Linked DNA regions of Canis lupus familiaris. The protein of the gene in region 5 purifies or fractionates together with the protein of the main gene of each other region. This does not show direct contact. Links are inferred from orthologs where the notes say so. Each region holds a gene or a part of one and is shown on either strand. Other genes may lie near its edges. The genes, in order: PNO1, CSNK1D, RIOK2, RPS3 and BYSL.

Evidence for each region.
Region 1: the proteins of BYSL (region 5) and PNO1 fractionate together in Homo sapiens (co-fractionation; 4 studies listed by BioGRID and IntAct, with this or other methods). This does not show direct contact. The link is inferred for Canis lupus familiaris from reciprocal best matches to the Homo sapiens genes BYSL and PNO1.
Region 2: the proteins of BYSL (region 5) and CSNK1D purify together in Homo sapiens (affinity purification with mass spectrometry; 3 studies listed by BioGRID and IntAct, with this or other methods). This does not show direct contact. The link is inferred for Canis lupus familiaris from reciprocal best matches to the Homo sapiens genes BYSL and CSNK1D.
Region 3: the proteins of BYSL (region 5) and RIOK2 purify together in Homo sapiens (affinity purification with mass spectrometry; 3 studies listed by BioGRID and IntAct, with this or other methods). This does not show direct contact. The link is inferred for Canis lupus familiaris from reciprocal best matches to the Homo sapiens genes BYSL and RIOK2.
Region 4: the proteins of BYSL (region 5) and RPS3 purify together in Homo sapiens (affinity purification with mass spectrometry; 4 studies listed by BioGRID and IntAct, counting the BioPlex papers as one, with this or other methods). This does not show direct contact. The link is inferred for Canis lupus familiaris from reciprocal best matches to the Homo sapiens genes BYSL and RPS3.

The regions. Positions count from the first base shown.
Region 1 is NC_049231.1:68,531,125-68,534,897, reverse strand, and holds part of PNO1 (RNA-binding protein PNO1), read right to left. Parts: intron 3,191-3,773; coding exon 3,107-3,190; intron 2,931-3,106; coding exon 2,870-2,930; intron 2,636-2,869; coding exon 2,518-2,635; intron 1-2,517. UniProt on the Homo sapiens protein: Part of the small subunit (SSU) processome, first precursor of the small eukaryotic ribosomal subunit.
Region 2 is NC_049230.1:898,895-903,191, reverse strand, and holds the start of CSNK1D (casein kinase I), read right to left. Parts: upstream 2,884-4,297; 5' UTR 2,573-2,883; coding exon 2,497-2,572; intron 1-2,496. UniProt on the Homo sapiens protein: Essential serine/threonine-protein kinase that regulates diverse cellular growth and survival processes including Wnt signaling, DNA repair and circadian rhythms. It can phosphorylate a large number of proteins.
Region 3 is NC_049224.1:12,585,996-12,590,451, reverse strand, and holds the start of RIOK2 (serine/threonine-protein kinase RIO2), read right to left. Parts: upstream 2,843-4,456; 5' UTR 2,730-2,842; coding exon 2,664-2,729; intron 2,288-2,663; exon of another isoform or gene 2,188-2,287; coding exon of another isoform or gene 2,158-2,187; intron 1,442-2,157; exon of another isoform or gene 1,333-1,441; coding exon of another isoform or gene 1,318-1,332; intron 1-1,317. UniProt on the Homo sapiens protein: Serine/threonine-protein kinase involved in the final steps of cytoplasmic maturation of the 40S ribosomal subunit. Involved in export of the 40S pre-ribosome particles (pre-40S) from the nucleus to the cytoplasm.
Region 4 is NC_049242.1:23,299,482-23,303,733, forward strand, and holds the start of RPS3 (40S ribosomal protein S3), read right to left. Parts: upstream 3,044-4,252; 5' UTR 3,010-3,043; coding exon 2,980-3,009; intron 1,942-2,979; exon of another isoform or gene 1,794-1,941; intron 1,663-1,793; coding exon 1,532-1,662; intron 1,031-1,531; coding exon 937-1,030; intron 450-936; coding exon 355-449; intron 1-354. UniProt on the Homo sapiens protein: Component of the small ribosomal subunit. The ribosome is a large ribonucleoprotein complex responsible for the synthesis of proteins in the cell. Has endonuclease activity and plays a role in repair of damaged DNA.
Region 5 is NC_049233.1:10,775,818-10,779,590, reverse strand, and holds part of BYSL (bystin), read right to left. Parts: intron 1,965-3,773; coding exon 1,826-1,964; intron 1,490-1,825; coding exon 1,356-1,489; intron 587-1,355; coding exon 426-586; intron 275-425; coding exon 172-274; intron 1-171. UniProt on the Homo sapiens protein: Required for processing of 20S pre-rRNA precursor and biogenesis of 40S ribosomal subunits. May be required for trophinin-dependent regulation of cell adhesion during implantation of human embryos.

The DNA.
Region 1 (3,773 bases), on a different chromosome or scaffold from region 5:
AGTTGGGGTAGAGGTGGGAGGACAGATGAAAAAAACCTGAATTTTCAAGTTTCATAGTAGAATGTCAACAGTTAATCTGAAAAAACAAGTCAAGAAGCTGGTATATAAACAAGGTATTTGAAAATATGGATATATGATTTTTAAAAGTTAGCTAAAAGAGTTGAAATTAGTTCCTTTGAGGAAGAGGAAATGGGAGTAGGTGGTACAAATGTGGGGCTTGCTAAGTACATGTACGTGTCATTTCGATAAAAATAAAAATTCTTGACAATAGCAGAGGAAAGATGAGGAAACAGCGAGCATACGTAAGTGTGAGTAGTTGTGCCGCTGAAACCACCAAAGGGACGGGGCGGTGGCTGGAGTGGAGGTCTCAGGACCCACAAGTAACATGACTTCCCATCTGATGCACTGAGTTTATTTGGAATAGTATCCTGCTCACATCGTACTGTAGTTTACCAGGTTATCAGCAACTCATCAAAAACAACTCTTACAGGTGCCTGCAAGTCTGTGTCATGGTCACAGCGTTATCAGGAAGTTGCTGAACATGTGGATTTCAAATTAGCTTATTCATACCACACACTCCATTTCAAGTAGTATGTGACTCAGTTTGTAACTCGGTAATAGCACCATTATTCTTAGCGGCCCCAAACTGCAAACAGCCCAAACCTCCATCCACTGGGAATGGATGAACAAAATGCAGACCTCACGCCAGTACTTGGCTTGTAAGAACTGCTGACCTACCCAAGGAACGGAGACACTCCAAACAGCAAGCTAATTAAAACAAGCCATACACCAAAGACTGCATCCTCCTGTGCACTTCCATTTATACACATTTCTAGAAAAGGCAAAACCATGACAGAAGGTAGATGAGTGACGGCCTGGGGTTGAGGTGGGATCACAGACCGGCCTATACATCTTCCTGAAACTGAAACAGGTAATGTGGTTTGTATGTACATCACGCTGCAGTAAAGCTATTAAAAAAGCTAGTTCAACTAGTTAATTTTACGTTAACACTCATCAACGTACTTAAAGTTTTAAACTTCATAGGACCCATAATTTGATCAGTGCATCAGTTACATTTTTAAATCCTCAAAAGTCTCCAGGGCGACATATGATACTTTCTAATGTGGTGTGGATTTCAAAATATTTTAATTTCTGGTTCGAAACAAGCTCTCCTCACGGCTGCATACTCCCAACTCCAGGCTCGCCTCGCAAGGACCAAGGTTACAATAAGCCTGTCTTCCAGGAAGGGGGCCGTCAACGTGGTGGTGTGGTTAACCCTCCACTGTAAACCAGAGTCCAAAACTTAGTTCTAAAAAATGGTGAGCCCGAGTTTAGAACAAAGATAGGAGGATTCTAAATAAAATGATTCCTGGGTTTAGTAGCGGGCAGGTCCCTCCTCCTGTCAGTCAACTGCTTCGTTCCCCAACTTGGCGGCATTATATAACCTCCACACCATCTGCCAGGAGCCCCGACCTGGCACCGCAGCAGCTGCAGCCCCGCCGGGGCTAATCCCAGCTTGACTTCCTGCACCCTGACTTTAAGCCTGGCTCCTCTCCTTTCCGTTCACATAGAGCTGCTCTCTAGCTTTTCACCTAACGTGCAATACTCACCATCCTCCCGTGAAAAGCCTTTACATAGAATTTAAAAATATTTATTAAATTATGCACATGTATTTCTTTCTTTACAAGGAAAGTCACAATGGCATTTATTTTTTTTTATTTTTATTTTTTTTTAAAGATATACCATATATATCAGGGCTTGGTAAGTTATGAACCACAGGCCACATTCAGCTTGCTGCTTATTTTTTTTTTTTAATTTTTATTTATTTATGATAGTCACAGAGAGAGAGAGAGAGAGGCAGAGACATAGGCAGAAGGAGAAGCAGGCTCCATGCACCGGGAGCCCGACGTGGGATTCGATCCCGGGTCTCCAGGATCGCGCCCTGGGCCAAAGGCAGGCGCCAAACCGCTGCGCCACCCAGGGATCCCCACAATGGCATTTAAAACACCCACTCCTTCCTCTCTCCTACTGATGTACCGGTCCCCTCGGATACTATTTAAATCTTCACCTGTCAAGTAACTTCTTTTAATAGTAATTATAAACATTTCCTTTGCTTTTTTGAAGATTCTATTTATTTGAGAGAGAGAGAGAGAGAGAGCACGAAGAAGGGAGGGGCAGAAGGAGAAGCAGGCTCCCTGCTGAGCAGGGAACCCGGAGCAAGACTCGATCCCAGGGCCCCTGGACGGCGACCTGAGCAGAAGGCAGAAGATCAACCGACTGAGCCACCCAGGCACCCCTAATCATTTCCTTTATTGCTGAGAAAAAAAGCTTAATTCCTGAGATTTTTCTCAACTCACTTAATCTGCTTCCAAAGTAACTGTATTTCATCCAGAACTGCACACTGGCAAAGAGTCAGTGGCAACATTATGCATGAAATCCAATTTTTATGACTCCTTGAAGCCAGCAAAAGATCACATATAAATCAGGACAATAATATTCTCAAGACCAGATACTTACACATCAGCCAAAACTATCCGTGTCCGTGTCACATTCTCTATGGTGAACTTGGTTTTTCCTCCTTTGCCAGCAATTCTTCCTATTGCCCTGGACAGGTGGTCTCCCTTTAGGGGCTTCACTAAATGAGAGAAGCAAGACCTGAGGAGGCAAGCGACTTCAGCACGCCACCCACTCCATCATGAAATTTAATCACTAACTGAATTAACCCTCCTAAAAGACGCAAAAAAACTTTTTTGAACCTGCCGATAACACAGGTCAACTGATGCCATGAGAAAGCTAAGAGTCTCCTACAATACAAAGTCAGCAGTACAAAAGTACAACAGTTAAGGGAAAAACACCACCCTAGACTCACCATCTGTAATTTCAAAAGACTCTAGGAAGAGATCATCCAACCTAATGAGGGCAAGCGCGTCCTACAACATAAAAATTAAAGCTGTGAAGTCCTTCTGTTTACATACCTGAGAATAACTGTTAAAATTCACCAGACCTAGAAGACTCAAAAAATATTTTTTTAAAAAGCTCAAACCCGTTGAAATGTTCATACTAAGTGTTTTTAAGCACCCAATTCAAATGTCACAAAGTCACTCACCTCCACCTGAAACCCAAGAATAAAGGCTTTCACAAAATCTGCTGCTTTTGTTAGAGCACTAACATCCTTGGTTTCTTTACAAGTCTGTTACAAAAACAAAAAAAAACAAAAAAAAAACACACATATTAAGACCAGAGGTGAAAATATTACAATAAAACACCAGGGCAGACTTTCCTCATTATTAAAATTTCCTTAACCACCATCCTTCCCCAATATATCCTCTATGACCCAGTTTTTGGTGAGATAAGCACTGTGTTGATTTTGCACAATGAAATGCTCCCAGCTCCAGAGTTGGGTAGTTCCATCTGAAGACTACACCCCAAGACCCATGGGACTCGGGGGCCAACGGCAGGATTCCTCTGGCAGCCCAGTGGCCCACAGCTCAGGGACCCCCTCTTCTCTTCTCCCCCTGGGAGTGCTGATCTCCTCTCCTGACTTCAATCATCGTCATACGCCCATGTTTCCCAGAGCACTAACTGCGGGACCCACTACCATGAATGGTGTAAGCGGGAATCTCGTCCTTAAAGGCTTTATTAGATACCTGCAGAAATAGCTGCTACTCGTAAAGTCCCCACCACTCACAATGACACGCACCGCAAAGGTGCCTTACGCACAACAGCTCTAGTCTCCATGACAACACTGAATATTAAGTAACATAAACCCCTTT
Region 2 (4,297 bases), on a different chromosome or scaffold from region 5:
CCAAAATAGCAGGTACAGGCAACGTTTCGCATAAGCACGTATCGCACAGAATACAGGAACTCTGAGGCCTTTGCACCCTGCCCTTCCTGACAGCCTTCGGGATCTGGCAAGCTTGGAGGTAAATAGAAGATGGGGACCGCACATTTGGGGGTCCATCGTGGCCCAAGTGCAGTACTTTCTGAAGTCCAGGCACTGGAGAAATAGCCCATCTTTAAAAGGGCCATGTGGGATGGACTGGAAGAACTGGCAGGGCACAGGGCCGCATGACCATGTCAATGCAGCAGGCGGCCGGGAAGGCAGGCCAATACCGGGCCCTCCTGGTCCATGAGGCACTCAGTAAACTGAAAGACGGCCTCCCCTCCTCGCAGTTTCAAACCTCTGAAAGCACACAACAATTTCTGTCCCAGGCAGAAATCCAAGACCCCAAATGCAGGATCACAACACAGGGAACCTACCTGGAGAAGTCGAGTGTTCTGATCAATAGTAAAATGACAGCAGCAGAAGTGATTTAAATTGTAATCACAGCAGAATACATGGAACCTAACCATTTTCAAGATATGAGGATGCAATTCCTTAACTAATGCCTTTACCTACAGAGGAGGAACTATGGTAGGGATGACTCATTCTGTTCCGTGGTCTTTGGGGCAGCCATCTTTGAGTCTCACCTACAGCTGGTGGGGTTCCTCAGACCCTGCGGTCCAGCCACATCTCTCAAGTAACAAGATCACCTCTCCTCTGTGGAGCAGCACTCAGCCTGAATGGACCCCCGTGGGGGCCCAGAGCCCATGCTGACGGAAAAGATCAGCTGTGGCCTAAGTGCACCTCAACAGGCCGTGCGGGTGCTAGGAGCGAGGGTGTGAGACTGAGGAGAGACCCCTCTGGGACAGGTCAGCCTGAGCCGTGCATCAGGTGCCGCCGGTGTGCCTAACACAAGGGGAGGCCCAGAGGGCACCACGGTGAATAAGCACACGGGGCTCCCTGCACCAGCTTCAGAAAGCACAGAGCTGGCTAGCACCTGAGGACAGAGAGTTCCAAAACAAATACCTACTTTTTGATGCCCGTGTAAAGGTGACGAATGCATGGACTTCTCAGGACAGCTCCTAGATCCTAGATTAAAACTTTGGCCAAATTTTACTGTTCTGGGAATAACGCAAACAGTTTACATTCACCCAGCAAATTTCCCTAAAGGAACGCTGCTCAGAAGGCAGCCAGCAAACTACTGGAGAGAAACGTCTGTGAAGTGTGTTTTGCTCAGCAGGACAGTAAGGCAGAGGGCAGGCAGGATCAGAGGCATCTGTAGGGCCCGGGACAGGCTTGCTCTGTGGGGTGAGAAGGCACCAAAAGCGGTAATGAACAAACGTGTGCACTCCTAACGCCGTCAGCCCCGGAGGTGCAGCTGCTCCGGGTGACAAGACGGGAGGCCGGGTGGGGACCCCCTGAAGCCACTCCTGACCCCTCTGACAGGTACATAGCCCAACAGAAGCAGCAGGGCAGGGGCTCTGCGCAACATCGGAGCGTGTTTACCCCAGACTTGCGCAACAGTCCCTCTGCGCACACAGCCCCGCCAGGCTGTGCGTCCCCAGGTCCAGGGGGGTACCGGCGACAGCAAAAGTTATTTTTAAATCCCCAACTTGAAGGCTCAAGCCGACCGTTCACGTTACACGTGCATTTCCTTGCACTGCAAATCGGAAACGATCCAGAACTTTCCAATCCCATTTTTCTTTCTTTCTTTCTTTTATTTTTTTATTTTTTACCCCAGATGTACCTGGAGAACCGTAACGGCCAGAGGGACCACCTCGGGAGTAGAGAGCGCTTTACTACTTTATTTGCCTCTAATTTTTGCCCACACCGCGACGCCGACTCCGTCTGCGCTCCCCCAAATCCCAGTCTGGCTCCGGCGGAGGCACCCCGTCCACAACTTGGATGCGCAACATGTCCTTCGGGGGCCGCTCGACGGGGCGGGGGACCCACCCGGCGGCCCCGCGCCCGCCCCGGCGCCGTCAGAGCCCGGGGAGCCGCCGAGCTGGGGCTGCGCCGTCGCACGGGCCCGCGGGCCGCGGAAGCCTGAGGCCGGCGCCCCGACCCCCCCCCGGGCCCCCCCACGTGCCCGGGCCGCAGGGGGCCGCACACCCGCCCGGCGGCCTTTGTCTGCCCGCGGGGGACACCCGGGCGCGGACAGCGGGCGGGGGTCTGGGGCGGCGCAGGGCCGCTCCCGGCAGCCTGGGGCGCACGTCCGGGCAGGCGCCCCGGGGCACGGCCGGACCCCGCGGAGGGGCTGGGGGCGGGGCGGGGCGGGGCGGAGGGGTGGGTCCCGGTCACCGCCGCGGGCCAGCGAGGGGGGTCCCCGGGGCGGAGGCGGGCCGCGGGGCCTCGCAGCGGGGTCCGGGCGTGTCCGGGGTCCTGGGCGGGGGTCCCCGACCCGGGGGCGGGGGGGGGCGCGGAGGGCGCGGACGCCGGTCCGGGGGCGGCCCGGGCTGGGGGGGAGGGGCGCCTCACCGAGATAGATGTCTCCAAAGGAGCCGCTGCCGATCTTCCGGCCCAGCCGGTACCTGTTCCCGACTCTGAGCTCCATGGCGGCGGCGGCGGCGGGTCCGGCTCGCTCCTGCCCTCCCAGCCGCTTCCTGGGTCTGAGCTCGGGGAGGCGGCGCCGCTGCTGCCGCTACGGCGGGTCGGGCTGCCGGCTCCGCCCCCCTCACGGCCCCGCTTTCACCATCGCTTTCCGGCCGCCCCGCTGCTCCCAGCGCCTCAATACGGGGCGGATGGGACAGTCCGAGCGCCGCCGCCCCTGCTCCGGCCCCCGCCGACCCCGCTCGCCCTCTCCCCGCCGCGGATGGACTCGGATCTTCCGGGCCTAAATCCCCCTTCAGCTGCCCGAAGGAGCCGCCGCCATCGCGCTGTGACGTCACTTCCCCTAGCAACCCGGAGGGGCGGGGCCGCGCTCCCCGAGGGGCGGGGCCGCGGCTTCGGACGGTGGGGCGGGGCCTGGGCGGGGCCAGGGGGCGGGGCGGGGCCAGCGCGCACCCGCGTCCTCGAGAACCCCGGGACCCCGGGGCGGTCCCCTCTTTTCGGTTTGCCCAGCCGCCTCAGCCCCGGGCTGCCGGGGGTCCATTCCACGTGCAGCCTGCACGTGCTGGCGCAGGGGCTTCGTATGTCCTCGCGGGTGCCGGGGAAGCCAGCGACTCCCCGCGACACACCTGGGACAGGCCCCAGGGCAGTGCTTTTTGCAAGAGGGACGGGGGCGGAGCCTGTCTGCCCCTCCAGCCCAGGGACCCGCAGGACCCCGGGGACTCAGGTGTGCCCGGCCCGCCGCTGCAGCACTGCCCGCCGCTGCCCGCCCACGCCTCAAGCCTTATGCGCTCAAACCTAGAGCCCGAGGTCAGACCCGAAAGGAGAAGGCGCAGCTACCAGGGATTCAAATGGTGAGGCCGTGGGCCTGCCTCTCAGTCTCATCTTCCTGGAGAACAAATCAACCTTTTCACCTAATTTGTATCTAGTCTGAAGGTTCCTCTTGCAAAAGAAAGCAAGAATGTTAAAGTTCAGAATGATGCCTGGCTTCAAAGATCTGGAGTCTTGATTCTGATCACTGGAAGGGAGTCCTCCAGGGAAGCATCCAAGCCGAGAAGGAATGACTTCCTTGTCATTCCTTCTGGCGCCTACGCCCCACGTAAAAAGGGAGAACCGTAGCACATAATGTTAATGCGTACTTGGGAGCATCTGGCAAATACCTACTACTCTATGCGTGGGGCCTGTGTGCTGGGCCTGTGCACGGGGCTGGCTGCGGCCAGGAGAGCAGCCTGTGTGCCAATGGACCATCAGGACCTCCTCTCCGGGTGGCCCAGGGGAGGCGGGGAAGGAGCGCAGTGGGCAGTGAGTGTCCTTCTGCCCCTCTCCCACACTCAGTCTCAGGAGTGCAGCCCCTGTCCAAAAATAGCTGGGGGTGGGGTTGGGGAGGCTGGCATCAATTCCTGAGCGTTGCTAGCAGTGCCTGGACACGGGAGAGGCTACCAGGCAAACCATGATCAGCCGCTGGTGAGCGGTGGGCAGTGGGGAATGCCCCATGGCCGTGTCAGCCTGGTTTCTCAGTCTTACAGTGTGAGGGTGGGGGGATATTGTCAAACTGGTAAAAACAGCCTGTTGCCAGAATTCCCTGGTGAACAGTGTCCTGCTCCCCTCCCCAAAAGCCATGAGTACAAACTGAGAAAGGGAAAGGGACCTGGATGTGCAGACCTCCGGCCGCTCCCTTAGCCACCCTGGGCTGATGACTGGCCAGCAGTCCCATCCTGGGAACTAAGTGTCC
Region 3 (4,456 bases), on a different chromosome or scaffold from region 5:
GGAAAGCTGAAAACCTTGAAGGTGTTTATGTAAAAGAGATTTGTGAACAGGGATGTTTTAAGGACATTCATCACAACTCAAAGTTCTGGAAGGTCTTTCAAATGAAGATTTTCCGGACTGAAGTCATAATTAAAGGGGAAAAAATGGTTATTTGAGGCAGGTAAGGATAAAGCTATGAAGTGGATATGATCATTGAACAAGACAGAATGAAAGACAAAGGAAGGACGACAGACAGAATTTTGGGGGAATTTCACATTAAAATGTAAGGGCAGCCAGCTAAAGTATGATTACTGATGTAGGAGGCGCCTGAGAAGTCAAGGGAAGACAGTCAAGGAAAGGTGGCCTCTGATACCGAGGATGGTATGCCTCAACAGAGACTGAAATATTTAATGAGTCATTTGTTGGTGAGCTTCAAAAAAGATCTTAAATACTGCAGAGACCGACGTTTTGGAAGATAAATCCGGCACTGTTTGCATGTCCCGACCAAGATCTCACACCTTAACTCATTCTGTTAGTCTCTCACATTCTTTCTCACTACGCCCATATTTCTGTCAGAGGCATTGAGGAATAAGTCCATGTGCTGAGAGGGACCTATTTTTCAGAAGTGACAGCAGGCATTTAAAGAAAATACAGCTGGATCAAGCATCTTCCAAATTTCACACTGAATTTGCATGTGATGCCTTACTGCCTATTTAATTGAAAGATAGTATCTTCTAAACAAATTTGTTTTATTCTGGAAATGCCTAATCTACGTGTTGTTGATCTTTGTTCCCTAAGACTACGACCATTAAAATCAGTTTCTGAGGAATGCCTGGGTTGCTCCGCAGTTGAGCAGCTGCCTTTGACTCAGGTCATGATCCCGCGGTTCTGGGATCATGTCCTGCATTGGGTTCCCTGCCTGGAGCCTGCATCTCCCTCTGCCTTTGTCTCTGCCTCTCTCTCTCTCTGTGTCTCTCATGAATAAATAAACTCTTTAAAAAAATTTTTTTTAAAGAGTTTATTTGAACAAAAATTCATTCAAAGGCTCTTGGGTGGCTCTGTCGCTTAAGCATCCACCATCAGCTCAGGTCATGGTCCCAGGGTCCTGGGATGGAGTCCTGCATCAGGCTCCCTGCATGGAGCCTGCTTCTCCCTCTGCCTGTGTCTCTGCCTCTCTCTCTCTGTGTCTCTCATGAATAAATGAATAACGTCTTTAAAAAAAAAAAAAATCCGTTTTTGTCACTGGTTAAAACATTCAGCAGTTCCCCTATATGTGGAGTATCTTCTGAATTCTTTACCAAGCTCACAAGGCTCTGCAGCACACGACCAGTCTCTCACCTTGTCCAATGCCATCTCCAGCCATTAAGTCTCTTGCTCACTATGGCTCCAGCCACACTGGCCTTTCCCTTCTTCATAAACTTCTGAGGTCAGAAGCTTTGCACGCAGTTCAGCTGTTTCTTTTCTTTTAAGATTTTATTTATTCATGAGAGATAGAGAGAGGCAGAGACACAGGCAGAGGGAGAGAAGCAGGCTCCATGCAGGGGGCCCGATGTGGGTAGAACTTGATCCTAGGTCCCCAGGATCACGCCCTGGGCCGAAGGCGGTGCTAAACCGCTGAGCCACCCAGGGGGACCCCCCCCCCCTCGACCCCTCCCGACCCCTCCCGCCCCCTCCCCCCAGTACAGCTGTTTCCTCTGTCTCCATCACTTTCCAAGAACTTCACTGGACTGCCTCCTTTTCATCCAGCTCCCATTATTTCCCCATCTCCCCTGCCAGTCTTTCTCTTACTTGGCAAATATTTCTTCAGTATCTACCAAGCGCCAGGAACTTTTTCAAAAGCCCTTAACTCTGGTTACGCACAGTAAATAAGCAAGATTATTTCATTTAGGTAGTCATCCCCTTTTTAAAAAAATTTTTAAAAGGATTTTATTTACTTATTCATGAGAGAGAGGCAGAGACACAGGCAGAGGGAGAAGCAGGCTCCATGCAGGGAGTCCGACGCCAGACGCGGGACTCGACCCCGGGTCCCCAGGGTCACGCCCTGGGCCGAAGGCGGCCCTAAACCGCTGCCCCACCCGGGATCCCCTCAGCAGCCTTCCCTGACGTCGCACCGAATCTAAAGATGACATCCGTCCCCCCCCCCGCCCTCGACGTGCACGTGGTTTCTATTTTACGGACCTCAGCGCTTATTAGCTGATTGCACCTCATTCCTTTCCCGGTTTACTCGGCCCGTCTCCCTCGTCTTGGGCCCCCTGCGAGTTCCCTCACGTCGTCACCAAAAAGCCCTGACAAGTCAGCGCCGCTTGAATCACAGTGAATAAATGCTGCGTGAGTGACCGTGTGCGTGAGGACCCCCGGCGTCACCAGTCCTCGGGAGTCCCGGAGCCCCCGTCGGGGGGGGGGGGGGCGGAAGGCAGGCCCCGAGACGCCGTCCGGGCCGCGGGGACCCAAGGGCGCCCCTGGAGCCCGAGTAGCGGGAGCAGAGAGGAGGGAAACGCCCACGAGAGCGGCCCGGCTCTGCTTCGGGGCGGACGGAAGCTCCCGAGCGACCTGACGGCCGGGCCCGGTCCTGCACCTGGGCCGCCCGGGTCTCCGAGGCCTACGGCGCGCTCCGCCCTCAGGCGAGGCGGGAGCCGGAGAGCGCGCGGCCGGCGGGCGGCCGGGGGGACACGGCGACTCCTTACCGCGGTCAGGACCCTGAAGTCATCCCGGCTCAGGTAACGTAACTTGGCCACGTTCACCTTCCCCATGGCGCCCGAAGACCAAGCCAGGAGCCGCCTCCTCTGCAGCCGCAGACTCTGCGGACGCCTCCCGGGCAGCTCCCGGGCGCCTCCCGGCCGCAGGGGCGCTCGCGCATGCGCCGCTGCGCGCTGCAGGTCCTCGTTAATGGAACGCTCCCGCCCCGCGTGGGAAAATCACACGTCCCGTGTCTCTACGCTGCACGCCGCAGGGGACGATGCAGAATATATATATTTTTGGGATGGCTTTTTTCACCTAAGTGAACGGACTTTCAATCTCTTTCGACCTCTACAACAGACCGTTTTATTCTTCCTATCTGTCAGGACCCACTTGCCGAAAGGAGGCGAGCCGCCTGGATCCGAGCGGAAAGGAACTTCCCGGGGTCGGCGGCGGGGGAAGCAAATTGTATTCCTCGACGGCAACTCCTGCTTCAGGCAAAGTGAGTTCCAACAAGGAAGGGGAGGAAATGAACCCAAAACGTGTCCGGACACACAAGGCGGTTAAAAAGGAAAATAGCAGGAATCAGGCAGGCAGGCCCGCCTTTTTTTTTTTTTTTTTTTTTCTCCACAGCGCCCGCCCCGGAGGGGGGCGTGGCTAACGAGAGCTCTCTCCTGCGCGTGCTCAGTGTTGGTTTTAGGGAGGGCGGCGGGCCTCGGGAGTGCGCCTGCGCGGGGCGGGGGCGGGGCTTGGGCTGCGTGGAAGGCGGGCCCTGGTGGCCGCGTCTGCCGGGCCTTTGCACCGGCCGTGGGCCGTGTTGACGAGTTGGGTCGGGTCCGCGGAGGTTGCTGATCAGAGGCCACGCCGTGGGGCTTTAGGAGAGCTACACACTCGGAACCTGCAGCCCTTCTCTACGCCCACAGGAATGGTAACCCAGGCAAGACTTTAAACAACATGCGCCCCAGGCCGGGGGCGGGGTGGGGGGCTGCGTTACCCTCCCTCCCCTGCAAAAGCAGCGAGGGTGACCAAACTCGCCTGATGTTTGTGTTTCTATCTTGTTTCATGAATCACATTTTTTTTTTTTTTTTAAAAGACCGTTACCTGTCTTGTTAGGCCCTCGCGCGTCAGCGGCGGGTGCAACATACGGTCGCGGAGGATTATGACCTGCAGGAGCCTCGACGGCGTTTCCAGCTTCTTTGTGCGTTGAGTCTCGAACACTTGGAGTGTGAACTTTGGAGTTCAGTATTTAGAGTCCCATGTTTTTCCTGCTGGGGTTCTGCTGGCCGGGTGTTCAGCCCTGCGACGCAGTACAGAGTATGTTGCTTTGTGCAAACACAGTTAATAGCCTTTTCATACCCCTCCCTTCCCCGCAGCGCAGTTGGAAGGCAAGCAACTGCATATGCCCTTTCTTTTCCAAGTCAGAATAGTTAATACTCTGAAACCATGGAGTACAGGCAGTAGAACAATCCTCTATCCCGTCTACACTGCAGCCTTTGCATTCTTTTTTTTTTTTTTTTTACACGTGAATGCCGTAAGCCTTCCATTGACCATGCTCAACTAATGGTAACCTCCACTAAAATGGAATTTTTCATTCTGTACCTCACATAAGAAGACATGAAAATGTCAAGTTGGTTGTTTTTGTTTTGTTTTTTTTTTAAGATTTTATTTATTTATTAATGAGACCCACACAGAGAGAGAGGCAGAGACACAGGCAGAGGGAGAAGCAGGCTCCATGCAGGGAGCTCGACGTGGGACCCGATTCAGGGACTCCAGGATCACGCCCTGAGCGGAAGGCAGATGC
Region 4 (4,252 bases), on a different chromosome or scaffold from region 5:
CATCAGGACTATGTCTTATGCCTTTATAATCTCCACACTTCATGGAGCTAACTTCAACGGGAACCCTGACCTCCTCTCCCTGGAGTTGTTTTTGTTCTATTACCTAAGCACCAAGAAGTGTACTCCCTTTATAGCACTGACCACTCTTTAAAACATAATCATTCAGGGATGCCTGGGTGGCTCAGTAGTTGAGTGTCTGCCTTTGGCTCAGGGTGTGATCCTGGTCCAGGGATTGAGTCCTGCATCAGGCTCCCTGTGAGGAGCCTGCTTCTCCCTCTATCTCCCTGCCTCTCTGTGTATAACTCATGAATAAATAAATAAAATCTTGAAAAAAAAAAGTCTCAGGACACTTACCTCCGCACAGCAAGGCCTCCTAGGAGTTTGTAACGCAGTGACTCTGCCTGGGCAATAGCACATAGACCTCTTGTGGCCACCTTTTCGGCATAGAGCTTTAAGAAGAAATCAAGGTACACCCTTAAACCTGTTAACTTTCCCCATTGTTTTCAATTAAAGAAAAAAAAAAAACTCATTCACCATACAAGCATGTGGTCACTGTGGCATCCCTCAAGTACTAAAACACTCCTACTACTCATAGGTAGCCTACGCTGTGACATAGTCTGAATCTTTCCTTATTGCCCTCTCATCCCTAGATACTTCTACAGCTACATCAAGTGATGGGATAGCCAATCCATCATACATATCATTACCATACTTAAGTTGAGAGTAAAAAAAAGTCCCTTAACCACCAGAAATGAGCAGAAAAGGCCTATAAAATAAAGCCTGCTACTTATTAAGACAACCAACAAAACACCAATTCATATGTAATACTTGGTGATAACTAAGGTCTTCATGACATTAAGGGTTTATAAAAGTAACCACCCTAAATAACCATTTCCAGGTCCACGGTAATCTCTGGCAAAAGGCAAAATCACTCACCTCTACACTGCCCTCAGGAAAACCAAACCTCTTCTGAACCACAGCAGTCAATTCCCGGATCCTCCGGCCCTTTTCACCAAGAACATTCTGTGTCCTGAGAAAACGAAAATACACAATAGCTCTCACAAAACTGCAAACATGGCTTTAAATTTTACATATATGTGGTAATGAAGTCTCACCCGTCTAACATAGAAAATACAAATTTTGGATGACAAGAGCTAGAATCAGATTTAAAAGGCAGTTACGAAAATACACATTTGTGGGGTGCCACGTTGGCTCAGTTGGTAAGTGTCTGCCTTTGGCTCAGGTCACTCAGGTCAAGATCCCAGGGCCCTGGGATCAAGCCCGGCAAAGGGCTCCCTGCTCCTCCCTCAGCCCCTCAACACCCCCTCCCATCCTCCGCTTTGCACTCTCAGTCAAATGAATAAAATCTTTTTTTTTTTTTTTCAAATGAATAAAAATCTTAAAAACAAAAACAAACCACTTACGTTTGCTAATAAGGCCAATTCACTGGTTCTCCCTGGAAGTTTACAGAATACACCAACCTAGCATATACAACAAGTAACAGGTGCTAACCAGGAAAATGAGATCTCACCTGGTGGCCAGGATAATGATTTCTGTCCTGGTTGGTGTAACTCGGACCTCAACCCCAGAGTAGCCATCTTCAGCGAGCTCCCGAGTGAGAAACTCATTCAGTTCAGCTTTGAAGATGCCATCAGCGACAAACTAACCAAAAGGGAAAATTCACAATTAGAACGTGGGATGGCAGGGTCATTGTCCTTCTGCCAATGCAACACCTCATACAAACATCCCATCATCACTCTTACTACCCTTGTTCCAACACAGAATTTAACAACCCTTCTCAGACAAATGCCTCTAGATCGTCCTTTGGAAGTTACTTTAACCCAAGGACCCTTAAAACTGCCACAGAACGCAGCAAGGAGTAGGGGCCGCCTGGCAAAGATAACACCTCCAGTCAGACTCGTCATCTTCTCTTCATTGAAGGGTTTTAAAGACTTCTTTAGGAGTAGCACATGCCAAACAAACAGCTGCTCTAAAATGGCACATTCACGGGATGCCCAGGTAGCTCAGCAGTTAAGCGCCTGCCTCCGGTCCAGGGCGGCGCAGGGCGTGATCCTGGAGTCCCGAGATCCAGTCCCACATCGGGCTCCCTGCATGGAGTCTGCTTCTCCCTCTGCCTGGGTCTGTGTCTCCCATGAATAAATAAGTAAAATCTTAAGATAAATAAAATAAAATGGCACATTCACAACTCCTTCTGTCTGCAGAGCAGAGATGCTACCTTTGTAACCCATGAAAATACGCTGCCTTCAGGGACCATCAGAAGACTCCCAGCCATGTTATCTTGCCTACAGTACATGTCTCACAAAGCTGAACTCTAATTCGAAAAAGTGTGTGGATTTGCACGACGCTGTGTACACACACAAAATGACAAGTTAGTTGCCTCTTTCTAAAGCAAGCGGACTTTACAGTTTCCGCCTGCGGAAAAGCGAAAAGTTAAAGCTCGATCCAGTGCTCTGTCCGGTTCTCCTCCCTCCCGGTTACTTTCTCCGCGGTAGAGACGGGGCAAGATACAGCAGCCTCTCCAACCGAGGTCTCGGGGGTCAGAGGGCCGCGCCCCGACACGAAGAAGGCGTGCACACGCCACCTCCCCCCCCCAAAGTCCTAGTGAGAGACATTAGGGGGAACGGCCCAACCTCTCAAAATACGCTTACTAAAGCTACCTGTTAACCAAGTAATGCTCCCAAGCGCTTTGTCTCGGGCGGGAGGGGCGCCCGGTGCTCACGTCTGGTCTTCGCCCAGAAGCGGCAGACGTCTCTCATCACTCCCTTCCGCCGCCAAACCGCGCTCGCCTGGCTCGGGCCTCGCATTCAATCCACCGCCATCCGCGGTCCGCGGGAATGCCACGCGGCCCAGGCCGCTTCCCGAAGCAGGGCTCGAAGCTGAGGGTCTCGCGACGGCATCTCGACAAGCCTCGACCCGCGCGGCACCACAGATCCCCGAACCTAGACCCCAGCGTCTTACCTTCCTCTTCTTGGAAATTTGCACCGCCATCTTGCCGCCGCGCGCCCCGGAAAGAAAAGGAAGTGGCTCGTGGGCGGAAGTAGGTATAAAGGGCGCGAGCTACGACAAAGAACTGCGCGACGTCGACGCCTGTAGGCGCTCCTGGGAATTGTAGTTTTTAGGAAGGCATTAAAGAGGGGAAAAAAAGGAGGGGTAATGGAGACACGTATAGGCAGAAACAGGAAAGGGAGCAGATCAATCAGGGGAGCTTAGGTCCAATTCTTATTAGCTTAAGTGAGCAACGTGAGGCGCAGAGATGGAAATTACAGGTATAAACTCACACAGCAACAGCGTGCAATCCTAGTCCCTGCACTCTACACTCAATGAAATTCGTTTAGGTCCAGCCCTTCTGTGTCCGTTTTCTCTGTTCCAAATGCTGGCGATATAAATATCTAATATTTATTAAATATGCTAGGGACTGTTCTATGCCCTTTATATTATGAACTCATTTACCTCTGCCTCACTTTCATAAAGTCCATTAAAACTAGTAACGGAAGTCACCAAGTAGTGGTTCATGGGGTCACAATTATTTTTCCGTTAAAAAAAACTGTACCCCTTATATTTTGAAATTTTCAAGCACACAGGAAGGTTGAAAGAATTATGTATATGCGTCACTAAGGTGATCCAATTAACATTTTTGCCATATTTGCTTTATCCCATATCTATCCATCCCTCTATCCACCCAAGGGTGCATCTTTTGATCTTTTTCAAGGTAAATTACAGCCCTCTGCACACTTTACTCTGAAACACCTCAACAACAGTTTTATTGAGAAATAATTGGCATACATCACTGTATACGTTTGAGGCATGCAGCATGATGCTTTGATTTACAAATATTGTGAAATGATGACCAAAATAGGTTCAGCTAATACCCATCGTGTCATACAGATACAATAAAAAGAAAAGAAGAAAAGAAAAACAAGTTTTTCTGTGATGAACAGTTTTATTTTAAATTTGAATAGTTTTTTTTTCAAAGATTTATTTATTTATTCATGAGAGACACAGAGAGAGTGAGGCAGAGACACAGGCAGAGGGAGAAGCAGACTCCCCACAGGAAGCCTGATGCAGGACTGGATTCCAAGACCCCCAAGATCACAATCTGAGCCAAGGGCAGATGTTCAACCACTGACCTACCCAGGTGCCCCTTAAATTTGAATAGTTTGCCTACATTTAAAAATCAGGAAACTTCTCTATAAAACTCTTTTAAGCTTCTCTTAAAAATACAGAAAGATCC
Region 5 (3,773 bases):
TTGGGGGGGAACTTCCATTCTAGTGGAGTAGCGACATGCTCAGAAGCTTAAACAAGCCACAGACCCAGGGCTATTCCTAGGTCCTTCCCCACTCTGTCCACTCCCAGCCCCCACCCTGGGATACTCCTATCTGGGTATCTGCTGACTGTTCTCCATCCTCACCAACATTACCTGGAGTGCAACACAGGGATGGAGCATTTGGTGATGATGCTACCCACGATGATGGCTTCGCGGAGGGTACAGGTGCCAGACTCACACAGGGGGATCAGGATCCCTGGGGAGGGTCAGAGAGGCAGTCATTTTTGAGTCTAGGGTGAGAGAAAGGAGCTAGAGCAGGTTCCCCACCTACCCGAGACAGTCATCTCCCAAGTCAGGCTTGCTGCTTTCACCTGCAGGAGCTCCGGCCCCTCCCTCTCAGTTCCCACCTTTAAACCAGGCTCCAGGCTTGAACAGGGCCTTCTTGAGTGCCATGTAGAGGTGGAAGTTGAGTCGTTTGTATTCAGCGATGTCATCTCGTACCCGGGGGAGCAGGACAAGGTTGTAGAAGCGCTGAGCCATGCGTTCCTTGAGGTTAGAGGCGAAAATCCTAGGTTTGGGGGTAGGGGGGTAGAATACGGAGGGAGATCCCTGGTCACTTGGTAGCCAGGAGCTGGCACTTTATTACTTTTTTTTTAAAGATTTAAAAACTTTATTTGAAAGACAGTACATGCACAAGCAGGGAGGAAGGGCAGAGGGAAAGGGAGCAGCAGACTCCCCTGCTAAGCAGGGAGCCTGACTTGGGGCTTAATCCCAGGGCCCTGGGATCATGACTTGAGCCAAAGATAAGACACCTAACTGACTGAACCACCTGGAGCTGGCACTTTAAATAATCACTGTGGATGGTGCACATAAGAGATCTGAGGGGTGAGTAGGAGTAAGCTGTGTGCAGACACAGATTAGGGAGGGCTCAGGAGGGGCTACAAGATGTATCCAAACAAAGGGAGCGCTTTGTCTTTGGGAAAGCCAGAGCTCTCTGCTCTTCACCTTTCTTCCCTGACATAGATTTTCTTTACCTTGCTGTCACGAGGGACCCAAGTGTGCCTGGGGAGCCACAGACTTCAGAGGCCCCTCTGATACACCAGGGGTTGTCCCCCAGTAGTTCTAAGCCCCACTTCTGAAAACTCATCACAGCAGAGTCTCAACCAAGTCCTGGCTCCGAAACATGAAACAGGAAAGCTGGGAAAACCGTGATGTACAGAAACACAAGCTAGAGCTCTGGGGCAAGGCAAAGATGTAATGACAGTAGCAGAGAAAGCTGCACCTCCACCCCCACTGCCACCTACAGACCCCAGGCCGCCCTAACCCCCCTCTTCTACCTCGTGGCTTGGTACATGGCGGCTGCAGTCCAGGCCTCAGGCTCTGTGATGTACAGGATTTGCTCCCAGTTGGAGAGCGCAGGGATGATCTTGAAGGCCTTGGGCAGTTTCCCACTGCGGTACTTCGATAACACCTGGGGATGAGGGCGCTGAGTCATCGCTGCCCATGACACACAAGCCATGTGCCGCATGCCATGTCCTCATGTGGTTGGTTTTCACAGATTAGCTCACTTAATCCTCACCACAACCCTGTTAGGATGTGCTTTTATGCCCTTGTTTTCCAGATAGGGAAACCAAGACTAGAGTTAAGGAACCTTACCCAAGGCTACCAAGTCCCTGAGTGGCAGAGCAGGTATCTTTTAAGTTTGCTTTTGGCCACTCTGCCTCATTTGTGAGGGAACACAAAGCCTTAGGTGGAGCCCACAGCCCCTGGGAGGGTATTTGATCACGGCTCTCCTCTCAGCTCTTACCTCCCGGACCCCTCTGTAGACCTCTAGGACCCGGGGGTCCAGCTGGGGCATAGGAAAGCCTGACACCTCTGACATAACCATCTCGACTTCCGTCTGCTTTTCGGTTAGCTTCTCCATGATGATGTCAGCCAGGGTACGCCTAAGAGTAGAGGAGGTGTGGGAGGGAAGGGGAGAGGGCGGTGGTCAGTCTGGGAAGCTCTAGACTTCCTGCACAGTCCCTCATGAGCTCTAATACACTTGTGATCCCGCTGGGATGTGTGGCCCCAGTTTTCCTGAGCCCTACCACCCACCACAGAATCCTGAGCAGTGTGAGGACCCAAAAGTCATTCATTTTGGGACAAAGCTGATAGCTGTGTGGAGGTGGAGGGCCTGGACTCTGAAGTCAGTCAGCCTGGGTTCAGATCTTGGCTCTTCCTCTCCCTGTATGACCCTGGGCATACTTGGCCTCTCTATGTCTCAGTTTCCTTATCTGTGAGACCGGGACAGTAACAGTGCCTAACTCATAACGTCAGCACAAGGATTACAGGAGTTAATGTTTGCATGTTACTTAGAACTCTTAGTACACAGCAAGTGTACAGTAAGCATTGCCTATTTCAAACACATCTATCGAGTGCTGGCAACATGCTAAGGGATCTCCTATTACAAAGTCCTGATCTGGCCTCTCTAGAATGCCAGACACATCTCTGTTATTTTCCAAGATTTCAAGCAACTGGGGCCATTAAGGAGAGACTATGACACAAACTTCCCCCCAATTTCACTTTTTGAAATTTATGGAAAGATTTCTAAGATTAATAATATTTTTCTCAGTTTCCTTGCACAGAGCATATCAAACATAACCTTATCAGGATGGTTTAGAATTATTGTCACATTGGGCTTTGGTAGAATGATGTCTTCAGAGGCTGCTAAGGCATATCTAAAATGGCTATTTTCGGGATCCCGGGTGGTGCAGCAGTTTAGCGCCTGCCTTTGGCCCAGAGCGTGATCCTGGAGACCCGGGATTAAATCCCACGTCGGGCTCCCGGTGCATGGAGCCTGCTTCTCCCTCTGCCTATGTCTCTGCCTCTCTCTTTCTCTCTGTGTGACTATCATAAATAAAAAAAAAAAATTTAAAAAAATGGCTATTTTCTCAACAGTAGGCATTGAAGCAGGATTTTCCAGATTATCTCATATAGGCTGTACAACATCTCATAGAGGTGTCATTATTGCCCTTATTCAGACATAGGAACTGATATCCAGAGACGTCAATAACTCACCCAGGGTCTCAGAGCTCTCAAGTAAGGAGAGAGTCAAACCCTGGTCTTTCAGCCTGAAATCCAAGTACTTGACAATACACTATAATGTGCCCCCAACTACATGGGCCCCTGACTGCTGAGTTCACATGGGTCTGGTTTGCTTTCAGAAGTTGCCAGCTGTCATTTCTCAGGACTATCAAGAATCCCTGTTTTGGCAGCTCCAAGCAATAAAATCATCCTGCCAATCATGTCAGAATACTATATTACAAAGGAGTTTGGAGGTGCTGAGAACCAAGGGCCCTCTGCCAGGAGAAGCATACAGCCCAAGTACACACTTTGTGACGTCTACTTTAGCTGCTGGGCATCAGTGTGGGAAACTGGCTCATTTCCTCACTGTGTTCTCAGTGACCACAGAACTTATCCTTCAGCTTCTGTGTCTTTTCTCAATACTATCAGCAACGAGAGATGCATTTAGCTCCTAAAAGCCTAAGAACTGGGATCCCTGGGTGGCGCAGCGGTTTGGCGCCTGCCTTTGGCCCAGGGCGCGATCCTGGAGACCCGGGATCGAATCCCACATCAGGCTCCCGGTGCATGGAGCCTGCTTCTCCCTCTGCCTATGTCTCTGCCTCTCTCTCTTTCTCTCTCTGTGACTATCATAAATAAATAAAAATTAAAAAAAAATAAAATAAAAAAATAAAAGCCTAAGAACTAAGAAG